Drosophila melanogaster: one gene and its partner. The protein of the gene in region 1 interacts with the protein of each later gene in a biochemical or structural test. Each region holds a gene or a part of one and is shown on either strand. Other genes may lie near its edges. The genes, in order: CycT and Cdk9.

What was found.
Region 2: the proteins of CycT (region 1) and Cdk9 form a complex in vitro, tested with the Drosophila melanogaster proteins (one study listed by BioGRID).

What each region holds. Positions count from the first base shown.
Region 1 is NT_037436.4:17,551,774-17,559,570, reverse strand, and holds the start of CycT (cyclin T), read left to right. Parts: upstream 1-1,782; 5' UTR 1,783-2,498; coding exon 2,499-3,075; intron 3,076-3,151; coding exon 3,152-3,197; exon of another isoform or gene 3,198-3,428; intron 3,429-3,739; exon of another isoform or gene 3,740-4,040; coding exon 4,041-4,636; intron 4,637-4,692; coding exon 4,693-6,767; 3' UTR 6,768-7,797. UniProt on the Drosophila melanogaster protein: Regulatory subunit of the cyclin-dependent kinase pair (CDK9/cyclin T) complex, also called positive transcription elongation factor B (P-TEFb), which is proposed to facilitate the transition from abortive to production elongation by phosphorylating the CTD (carboxy-terminal domain) of the large subunit of RNA polymerase II (RNAP II).
Region 2 is NT_033778.4:22,635,431-22,639,848, reverse strand, and holds Cdk9 (Cyclin-dependent kinase 9), read left to right. Parts: upstream 1-2,121; 5' UTR 2,122-2,258; coding exon 2,259-2,443; intron 2,444-2,505; coding exon 2,506-2,590; intron 2,591-2,649; coding exon 2,650-2,907; intron 2,908-2,975; coding exon 2,976-3,662; 3' UTR 3,663-3,786; downstream 3,787-4,418. Other genes in the region: CG3732 (uncharacterized protein), read left to right, coding at 1-312, 369-811; bonsai, read right to left, coding at 1,036-1,538, 1,598-1,731, 1,791-1,996; CG17807 (uncharacterized protein), read left to right, coding at 3,925-4,418.

The DNA of each region.
Region 1 (7,797 bases):
TAAATTTCAATCTCCTATTTCCCAGAGAGCTCTCCTTTCACTTCGATAGCCTAAATCAGTTGGAGACTCCAACCCGAAAGCATTTATACATGCTAAGCACGATAATTGTACATATACAACTTCTGGACCTCATGACTCCACTCGATTATAAACGTATTTTATATGTATACACCAATTATTTGTTAGATTGGATAACCCCGAATGGCTGGATAAGACCAACTAAATTATATGCAATAGAATATCGATGCCGTTGGGCAAGATTTCTATGCTAGGCTAAGGCTAAGACAAGATATCTTTCTATTGGTAACTCAAAAACGAAACGAACTATATAGCTTTTAAATGGAAACGTGCGATTATTCAAAGGTATTCTATGCCGCCTGAGAATAGTAGAGATATGGATTGGCCTAGATTTAGACGAATATGTTGAATGCATTAACATTAGATACGATTAGTTTTTGACTTACTAACCTAAGTTAAGTTTTTAGACTGTTTATTTCACTTTTTGTTCAATCTTTGTACATTTGACAGACACATTTTAAAAATGTCTGCGATGAGAAATCAGCTAAAGCCAGCCACAATATATATAATATATATATATATACTTTAATGCTTATGTAGTAAGGAAACGAACGTTGGATCGAAGTCATGGTATGTAGGTGAATTTTATGGTTAGAGGCAAGCGCAAGCGAACGGATTAGATTAATTTTTATAAGAATGCATTAAGAAAAACGAAGCAAGTAACAGTCACAAGCTAGCATAATTATTTACTGTTATGACGACATAAGAGTTTTAAGGTTTTTAGCTAAATTTTGTATATTTTAATCTACAAACTATAAATATATATTATCTGTTTTATAAATAACAATAAAAAATTCATATGTGTTTTTATGACAGATTTCAAATGGGTAGAGCATCGCTCTCAAAATGTATAGCCATTTTGAGCTGTACAGGAATTCGGAATGTCTTTTTTACTACTAGTATTATTTCTTATGATTCGGTCGGTTATGGCTTATACGCATAGACCAATAACTCTACATATCCCCACCCACAGAAAGAAGTCACAAAATCTGGGAGGCCAATTACAGGTCCAAAACGTTAGATTAGTCGGTCACCATTAAATCGATTGTGGCACGAGCTGTGTGACATATTGCGTCCTCTTTTTGGAACCACAGGTCCTGGACATCATGGTTGTTCGATTCAGGAATGAAAATGTTGGTAACAATAGCCCTATACCGATCGTCATTTACTGTAACGTACTGGCCATCGTCGGCTTTGAAGAAGTACGGACCAATGATTCCACCAGCCCATAAAGTTTTTCTGGATGTAACGGTGTTTGAGGATTGGCTTCAACCGAAGTGCTGGTTGTCCGACTAGGTATATAAACATATACATAACAACATTTGGATATTTTGATAAAAAAAAGTCATGCGATTAAATGAAGGTGCTCAAAGTACATATATAATATGTCCATATACATATAATAAGATATATTTAAGATGGGACTGTTCAAACATATTAAGTACAAATTCGATTCCCCCGGAATATACGTTATTTTTTAATTGAATAAGAAGGGAAAAAATGTTGACATTGTGATATTTCTACATGTGTTAGCGAAATGTAAAGTTTAAGGTAAGTTACTTAAAAATGTATTTACATTTATTTGAATATCTACCTTACGATTATTAATCGATAACATAAACAGTAGAATCAATGTTGCCATATTTTAAAAATAATATCGATAATGCGAAATAAACATCGGTTTGGAAAGCCTTATCGATCTGGCAGCCCTGCCGACGGCCATACTTGAAAATACATTTTTTTCTGCAAAGTTTGTCATTGTCACTGTGTGAATGGAATCTGTGATGTGTTGTGGAATTAAAAACGTCGAGTAAACGACCCGTAATGGTTAAAGTGCCCGGCGAAAGCAGTGCGAATAACTATGAATTGATACGAAAGTTGCATAACACGTCGCCTGGTGTCGCGGTTAGTGTGTTTTTCGTCTCGTTTCGTTTCCGCCGCAGTCGCAGTTTCCAGAAAACCTCACCACACCATACCATCTCCACCACGCACACACACACACAAACAAACACGCAGAGACGCGGCGGCGGAAAAAGTGTGCGGACCGCGGATTTAACCCCTCGTTCCAAACCCAAATTGGAGTCTCCCAAAAACAGCGAAATATCGAGTGTGGCTTAGCCGATGTGCCGTGCGATCCCCACTGCCCCTTCCGTACCGCTGCCACCCCCGCCACAGCAGCAACGCACACGGATACGGACACAGACACCAATACCAGCGCACTCAAGCACGGCCGACAAAGAAAGAGCGCTCTCCCTTCCTCTTCGTACAGTTAGTTCCTACAGCTGAATCAGCCAAAAGGGAATTACTAGGTCCATTCCGAGGCGCAGTTTGCATGTGAAACGGAGGTCCCCGCATAACCACGCGGAACCCGAAATCCCAGATCCCCATCTCCGCTGCACGGATAAAGGAAACATACAACCATGAGTCTCCTAGCCACGCCAATGCCCCAGGCGGCCACCGCCTCATCTTCTTCATCCGCCTCCGCGGCCGCCTCGGCCAGCGGGATTCCAATCACCGCCAACAACAACCTGCCTTTCGAGAAGGACAAGATCTGGTACTTCAGCAACGATCAGCTGGCCAATTCGCCAAGCAGAAGATGCGGCATCAAGGGCGACGATGAGCTGCAGTACCGCCAGATGACCGCCTATCTGATACAGGAAATGGGTCAGCGTCTGCAGGTGTCCCAACTGTGCATCAACACGGCCATTGTGTACATGCATCGGTTCTACGCCTTTCACTCCTTCACCCACTTTCATCGCAACTCCATGGCGTCGGCGAGCCTCTTCTTGGCCGCCAAGGTAGAAGAGCAACCGCGGAAGCTGGAGCATGTTATTCGGGCCGCCAACAAGTGCCTGCCGCCGACCACCGAGCAGAATTACGCCGAACTCGCCCAGGAGCTTGTGTTCAACGAGAACGTGCTCCTGCAGACGCTGGGCTTCGATGTGGCCATCGATCATCCGCACACGCATGTGGTGCGCACCTGCCAGCTGGTCAAAGGTATGCACCCACCATCCGACCCAAGCCATGTCCCCTTCACATGTCAGATGGTACTGATTACTGTGGTATATTTTAGCATGCAAGGATCTGGCGCAGACATCGTACTTCTTGGCCTCGAACAGGTATGGCTAGCAATGCGCTACTCTATGGTGTAATCCCTCCTAGAGATCGCCCCCAACGCAAATACGGCTGTGGTATAAGCAATGTGTGTGTGTGTGCGGGTGTGGTGTTGGCCCAATCCTCCCCAGAAAGTGGTCAGGCTGTAGAGAGTTCGATCCCTGACTTTTTGTGGCTAAAATCTTTGGGCAGTTCTTTTACCTGCTTAATTCCTCGCTTATAGCTAACAAACCCAGGTATGTGAGTCGAAACAAAAAAAAAAAGTGACGACCCCAAGTCACAAATCGAACAAGAACACGCGGTCCCTAATCGCAGCAGGACGTCTGTACAAATATCGCATCTTAGCAAAAAGGCAGTATTTTCCGTGTCCCTCGCGGTAATTATCCTCAGTTGCCTGCAATAACATTGTAATTTGTGTCGGAAAATCCGCCAAATGTCAAGAATAAGACTAATTCCTAGAAAGAGTCGTTAATTCCTAGAAAAAGATATTTGAAGAATTGTAATGATAACCATTGTAATCCTTTGGCATACTAAAACATCTGGAAAAAAGATAAATTCAGTTTGGCATACCTGCCTACCTAAAACATAGTCAAAATTCTGATTACATGAGGAGAGCTCATTGGGAAAATTTGCGCATTTCGAAATATCGGCAAACGTTTTAGAATAATTCTTTTAAGTTTAAGATCCCCAAGAAATAAAAGAGACTCGCTAAGAACATGCTAAGAACTAAAGACGTAATCTGTATTATAAGTGATGAAATCCCCCTGCACACACTCACCGAACTACATTTATATGTGATATTCTTGCAAAAGATTTCCCACTAAATTGACTTAACCATCCTGGCACAGCCTGCATCTGACCTCGATGTGCCTCCAATATCGCCCCACGGTCGTAGCCTGTTTCTGCATTTACCTAGCCTGCAAGTGGTCCCGATGGGAGATCCCCCAGTCGACCGAGGGCAAACACTGGTTCTACTATGTGGACAAGACGGTCTCGCTGGATTTGCTAAAGCAGCTGACAGATGAGTTCATCGCTATCTATGAGAAGAGCCCGGCCCGTCTGAAGTCTAAGCTTAACTCGATCAAGGCGATCGCCCAGGGAGCCAGCAATCGGACAGCTAACAGCAAGGACAAACCAAAGGAGGACTGGAAGATCACCGAGATGATGAAGGGCTACCACTCAAACATCACGACACCACCAGAGCTGTTAAACGGCAACGACAGCCGGGATCGGGACCGAGATCGTGAACGGGAGAGAGAGCGGGAACGGGATCCGTCGTCACTACTGCCGCCACCGGCTATGGTGCCGCAGCAAAGACGACAGGATGGTGGCCATCAGCGCTCGTCCTCAGTGAGCGGAGTGCCAGGCAGCAGCTCTTCGTCGTCTTCCTCCAGTCACAAGATGCCAAATTACCCTGGTGGCATGCCGCCCGACGCTCATACGGGTAAGTATTTCAACAACTGCAAAAAGAATCACATTTTTAACATCTTCGTATTGAAGATCACAAGTCAAAGCAGCCGGGCTATAACAATCGAATGCCCTCAAGTCACCAGCGTAGTAGTAGCAGTGGACTCGGTTCCTCGGGAAGTGGCAGCCAGCGCAGCAGCTCATCCTCGTCGTCTTCAAGCCAGCAGCCTGGCCGACCGTCTATGCCCGTGGACTATCACAAATCCTCTCGCGGCATGCCGCCGGTAGGCGTGGGCATGCCACCTCACGGCAGCCACAAGATGACTTCGGGCTCCAAGCCCCAGCAGCCGCAGCAGCAGCCGGTCCCACATCCATCCGCCTCTAATTCCTCTGCATCGGGCATGTCCTCCAAGGATAAATCCCAGAGCAACAAAATGTATCCGAACGCACCGCCGCCATACAGTAATAGTGCCCCTCAAAACCCGCTGATGTCGCGTGGTGGATATCCAGGCGCTAGCAATGGATCCCAGCCCCCGCCTCCCGCCGGATACGGCGGCCATCGCAGCAAATCCGGCTCCACCGTCCATGGCATGCCGCCTTTCGAGCAGCAATTGCCCTATTCCCAGAGCCAGAGCTACGGCCACATGCAGCAGCAGCCAGTGCCTCAGTCTCAGCAGCAACAGATGCCTCCGGAGGCATCCCAGCACTCGTTGCAGTCCAAGAACTCGCTCTTCAGTCCAGAGTGGCCAGACATTAAAAAGGAGCCCATGTCGCAGTCGCAACCACAGCCTTTTAACGGTTTGCTACCCCCTCCTGCGCCTCCCGGCCACGATTACAAGCTAAATAGCCATCCGCGCGACAAAGAAAGTCCCAAGAAAGAGCGACTAACGCCAACCAAAAAGGATAAGCACCGTCCTGTCATGCCCCCAGTGGGCAGTGGGAACAGTTCCTCCGGCTCGGGATCATCAAAGCCGATGCTACCGCCTCACAAGAAGCAGATACCCCATGGCGGGGACCTGTTGACCAATCCTGGAGAGAGTGGAAGCCTAAAACGGCCCAACGAGATCTCGGGAAGTCAGTATGGACTAAATAAGCTGGATGAAATAGATAACAGTAATATGCCTCGAGAAAAGCTTCGCAAGCTGGACACTACAACTGGACTACCAACTTATCCGAATTATGAGGAGAAACACACGCCTCTGAATATGTCCAACGGAATCGAGACAACGCCGGATCTGGTGCGCAGTTTGCTAAAGGAGAGTCTGTGTCCATCGAACGCTTCGCTCCTGAAACCGGATGCCTTGACTATGCCTGGCCTGAAACCACCGGCCGAACTGCTTGAGCCCATGCCCGCACCAGCGACAATCAAGAAAGAACAGGGAATAACTCCGATGACCAGTTTGGCTAGTGGGCCCGCACCCATGGATTTGGAAGTACCCACTAAACAGGCCGGAGAGATTAAGGAGGAAAGCAGCAGCAAGTCCGAAAAGAAAAAGAAGAAGGATAAACACAAACACAAGGAGAAGGACAAGTCCAAGGACAAGACGGAAAAGGAGGAGCGTAAGAAGCACAAGAAGGACAAGCAGAAGGATCGTAGCGGCAGCGGTGGCAGCAAGGACAGTTCTCTTCCCAATGAGCCTCTGAAGATGGTTATCAAGAATCCCAACGGCAGCCTGCAGGCCGGTGCGTCAGCTCCCATTAAACTTAAGATCAGCAAAAATAAGGTTGAACCCAATAACTACTCTGCAGCGGCGGGTCTGCCTGGCGCAATCGGATATGGCTTGCCTCCAACTACGGCTACCACCACATCCGCTTCGATCGGAGCAGCTGCTCCTGTTCTGCCTCCTTATGGTGCCGGCGGTGGTGGCTACAGCTCATCGGGCGGCAGCAGTTCCGGTGGCAGCAGCAAGAAAAAGCACAGCGATCGTGACCGCGACAAGGAGAGCAAAAAGAATAAGAGCCAAGACTACGCGAAGTACAATGGCGCTGGTGGCGGCATCTTTAATCCCCTTGGCGGTGCTGGCGCCGCACCCAATATGTCTGGAGGAATGGGCGCCCCCATGTCTACTGCTGTACCACCATCCATGCTGTTGGCGCCCACCGGTGCAGTACCACCCTCTGCCGCTGGGCTGGCACCGCCTCCCATGCCCGTCTACAACAAGAAGTAGTGGTAGCGGTCAGAGGGTTATTCTTAAGTCGTACGTTTTGATATATGTATAGAACCTCAGTAAGTCCGATTGTAGTATAGTTGTTAGGATTGTTAGTGAGATGCATTATTGATTTTAGTTAAGCACATAGATAAAACTCCAAATTGGAAGTGAAACCGGATGCGCAGATCGAAGAAGAGTGGAAGTAGATGTCGCGATGGGGCTGGACGTAAAAGCAGTACTCAAATCGCGAAAACTTTTGTACAGCATTAATTAATTTATAACTATAATAAATAGCATACATATAAGCCCACATACATAAAAATACGGAATAGTTTTAAGCGAATTGTTGGCAAACGGAATCAGAGACCCAAGCAGAAAATTCACAGAGAGCAGCAATGGCCGTCTAGCGTTTAAGTTAGCAAATCAAATACCCGTTTCACACACTCTAACCTGTATATAGCCACTCTCACAAACACACAATCAAGAGATATATAGTACAGACTTCCGCTTAGCAAATATACTAAATACGGCCCCAACTAAATGCAAGCCAGAGAGATAGAAAGAGTAAGAACTTCAAAATAATCCCCACAGAGGAGCATATAGTTGTGGCAGAGGATAGGAGAGTAAATGGAAAGCCAGCGCTTTGATTCAAAATTGAAGACGCCAAACCACATAATGAATTATTTAATTAATACATAGTTGCTAATCCGAAAATGAATGAAGATGTTTATTTTTAGTTAGCAAAGTTTTCCCTTCCTTTCTGAACGATTGCCCGATTACTAACCGTGTTTCAATATAGTTTTCGACACCTAGCAATATATACAGTAGTGTATTTACACTTTTCAATGAAGATAAGTAAAAAGATCGGATTGTTTCAGCGGATGATATTATGTTTCAAGATCGCCTGGAACGTTGACGTAGCTTTCATTTGTTTTAATTTATTTTTTAAATAGCATTACAAAACAAATTACCACAACAAAAAAAAAACCAAAACAAAAACAAATAATAAAGTCCCAAAACAAAAACGGAATATGCAAACAAAAAAGAA
Region 2 (4,418 bases), on another chromosome or scaffold:
GCCATCTGAACTTCGCCCGCCGTTTGCAGTGCAACAAATGCGACCGGGACCGCGATGGCAGTGATAAGCCGGAGCGCGACAGGGATCGAGACCGGGAGCGGGAACGCGGCAACGGGAGCAGCAGCAGTAGCAGCAGCTCAAGCAAGAAAAAGCTGGGCACCGAGATCGGCAAGGCGGCGGCCGACAAGTCGCGGGGCTTGTTCAGCGCCGAGGACTGGCAGTGCAGCAAATGCGCGAATGTGAACTGGGCCCGTCGCCAAACCTGCAATATGTGCAACGCTCCTAAGTTCTCGGATGTGGAGGAGCGGACTGGTGAGTCCGTAGAAGCCTGATCTGCTTCAAAACCCACTTAACCAGTTTCTTTAAAGGCTTTGGCGGTGGATACAATGATCGCGGCGTGGTAGAGTACAAGGATCGTCAGGATTCGGATAGCGAGTACGATGAGTTCGGTCGTCGCAAGAAGCGAAAGCACGGCGAGCATAGAGAGGACTCAAAGAGGCCCAGAAGGTCTAGCCGAGATGAGCAGCGGAATGATGAGGAAGAAGATGAGGACGACGACGAGGGAGACGACGAGGATCTATCAAAGTACGATCTCTGGGGCGACGAAGAAGTCACTTCCACGGATGTCAAGAGCAAAGAGGGCACTGGCAATGGCGACAAGGAGCGCAAGCGTACCTCACGCGACTCTACCTCTTCCGTGTCCTCCTCGTCGTCGTCCAGTTCGTCCAGCTCCAGCGACTCTTCGTCGAGCAGCTCGAGTAGCTCCAGCAGCGGCGGCAGGCGGAAAACCTCCTCGTCGGGCAGACGTTAGCTGCAACCGTACCCTTTAGGAACTTCTCTTTAATTGCGTCTGTTTTTACACATTTTTCTAAGGCAATCATGCTTGCCTTCTTATTTATTTGCCAGTATGCGCTCAGATGATCATGACATAGGGTACGATGTCCAGCCTAACTCTTAAAGTATAATAAAACATATAATTTAAGAAAACCAGCATTTACATTTATTGTAAGACACCGTAACATTAAAGAATCGGGCCTAATTGAAGCCATCCTCGTTTTGTTTCTTGCTGCTGGCGGCTGCCTCCGCCTGCTGCAGCTCCTTCAGCATTTCCAGCTGCCTTTTTGAGTCGGCGATCTTCTCTTCTGTCACGGTCACGGGGACATCGCAGGAAATCTGTTCCTGCCGCACGAACTGCATCTTCTTGATGGCCTCCTCAAGGAAGGGTATTTGCTGGGCCTGCAGCTGCTTATGGTAAGCCTCTAGCCGCTCTTCCTTTAGGTTTTCGCAGTATATGTCGGTCAACTTTTGGAGGGATTCCTTGCGGGTGATCCAGTGGAAATGTGTGGGCGGTGGCTTGTACACCAGGTCGAGTTTCTCGAGAATCCACTCGAAGCGGGGATAATCCCAACGTCTCAAGTACTTGAGGAACTTCTTGCGTTTGTCGATGAGCTCCTTGAGACGCACCTTGATCATCTTGTCGCGCGGATGCTTGTCCATGTGCTCCTGGTAGCGGCGGATAACTGCAGTCATTTTTGCCACTAAAAGAAGGGCAAATTTGGGGGGAACTGCTATATGTGCACTTTGCAAAGATACATACATTTGGCCTCCATTGAGCCGAAATCCTGGGCATGTCTTTGCACCTCCTTGACCATCTCATCGCGATAGAATTTTGTGGTCAGGTAACTAGCGTTGTTGCTCAGTTTGAACAAGGATTTAACTGACTCGTCGGCTCTACAAAATGGTGAGATGATGTAAATAAACTATTATATTGAGAGAATACTGCAACATACTTATCCAACTCCTTGCAGTCCCTGTATTCCGGCAGCAGTTCGTCGGCTTTCAGAGGAGGCAGCTTGGCTAAATCGCCGCTCTTTTCGGGCTTATAGCACGCGATCTTCTCGGGGCGCATCCATTTGATTTTCAGGTCCGACTTGAATGCATATTCCCGGACAAACTGCCGATGCCCTGCCTGGGCTATATTCAACAGTTTATTCATTAATTCGGCTTTTATTTGTTGGACAAATTTTGGCTAGGTTATATCACTTGGCCAGTGTATACCAACAATCGAAAAGTTATTACTACCCAGCTGTTTGACCCATCGATTTCTTATCGATAGGCCTTGACAGTGTGTGCACACCGGTATTTCTTTAGTCAACAGCTGTAGAAACACCAATTGTTGCCGATTTCTTTCTTTTCGACTGTCGGCTTCTCGCGAAACTGTGATTGTGAAAATTGTACAAATAGAGGCAAATTTAACCATGGCGCACATGTCCCACATGCTCCAGCAGCCTTCGGGGTCGACGCCCTCCAACGTGGGCTCCAGCTCATCGCGCACGATGTCCCTGATGGAGAAACAAAAGTACATCGAGGACTACGACTTTCCCTACTGCGACGAGAGCAACAAATACGAAAAGGTGGCGAAAATTGGCCAAGGCACCTTCGGGTAAGTCTCCAAATTGGTGAAAACTAACTTTAAACTAAAACATACGACCCCTTTGATTACAGAGAGGTTTTTAAGGCTCGCGAGAAAAAGGGCAACAAGAAGTTTGTGGCCATGAAGAAGGTGCTGATGGACAACGAAAAGGAGGGCGTGCGTGAAAAGCAACATCTTAAGAGACGAATTCCTTATTTATATATGTGCTCCCCTAGTTTCCCATCACGGCTCTGCGAGAGATCCGCATCCTGCAGCTGCTAAAGCACGAGAACGTGGTGAATCTGATCGAGATCTGCCGCACCAAGGCCACCGCCACGAATGGTTACAGATCCACCTTCTATTTGGTCTTTGATTTCTGCGAACACGATTTGGCAGGTCTTCTGTCCAACATGAACGTCAAGTTCAGTCTGGGCGAGATTAAGAAGGTTATGCAGCAGCTTTTAAACGGTTTGTATTACATCCACAGCAACAAGGTGAGTCATGTCATTAAGCAAAGTTTTGGTTTTACATTGTATGTATCTGTTTTCATTTGCATTACTAGATCCTGCACCGAGACATGAAAGCTGCCAACGTGCTGATTACCAAGCATGGCATCTTAAAGCTGGCTGACTTTGGCTTGGCCCGTGCTTTTAGCATTCCAAAGAACGAGAGTAAGAATCGCTATACCAATCGCGTAGTAACCTTGTGGTACCGGCCGCCTGAGCTGCTACTTGGTGACCGCAACTATGGTCCACCCGTGGACATGTGGGGAGCCGGCTGCATAATGGCCGAGATGTGGACACGCTCGCCCATCATGCAAGGCAATACGGAGCAGCAGCAGCTAACCTTTATCTCGCAGCTATGCGGCTCCTTTACGCCGGACGTGTGGCCGGGAGTGGAGGAGCTGGAGCTGTACAAATCCATCGAGCTGCCAAAGAACCAGAAGCGTCGAGTCAAGGAGCGCCTGCGTCCGTATGTCAAGGATCAAACCGGCTGTGATCTATTGGACAAATTGCTGACCCTTGATCCCAAGAAACGCATCGATGCGGACACAGCTCTGAATCACGACTTCTTCTGGACGGATCCCATGCCCAGCGACTTGAGCAAGATGCTGTCCCAGCACCTGCAGAGCATGTTCGAGTACCTGGCGCAGCCACGCCGCAGCAACCAGATGCGCAACTATCACCAGCAACTGACCACCATGAACCAGAAGCCCCAGGACAACAGTATGATTGACCGGGTTTGGTAGACTGCCAGAGGTGTACGCACCCGACTAATAGTTTCTCACCTTCAACTAGCGTTAGGTTATTAGGTTAGTGTACAATAAAAATATTGGCATTTGCATTAGCGCTTGCTCCAAATATACCTACATTATGTTTCTCTGCTTCTTATTATTCTTTATTCAAAGTTTCTACAATTACTTGAAGTTGCAAGAAAGGGTATTCACAATCGACTTAAGTATTAGAACAAAAAGAAAAACATTGAAAAGGGGTGTACACACTGGCCGCGAGATGCACGTTGAGGAAACACAGCAAAAGGTAAACAAGGCCAAAAAGGCGGATAAAAAGCAGCGAAGATGTCTGGCAATCATCAAAAGTGACTGCGAGGTGTCTCCAAGCGCTGAACCCACCCCTTACCTGGCGGTTCTCAACGTGGGACTCAGCAATGGACTCACGGAGGAGTGTTTGCTCACGGAGGCTGCCGCGACCGGTGGAAAAGTCATCCAAGTGGTCATGTTGCCGGGCAAATCGTACTGTTTTTTTATTTGTGCCAGCTTGGAAGACTCCCAGCTCATCTATGAGGGAATGCACAATATATCGACCATTGGACAACAGGGAGCTGTAGCCTACCTTAGCTATATAAGGCAACTACCGGCACTTGCGGGAAAAAGTGAGTGGAACAAGCCTCTTCCCAGAGGCCTTCACATAATTGCTGACTTTGTCACCGAAGAGGAGGAGTCAACGCTGTTGAGGGCCATTGGCGAGGATGGCAGAACCTCCGAAGT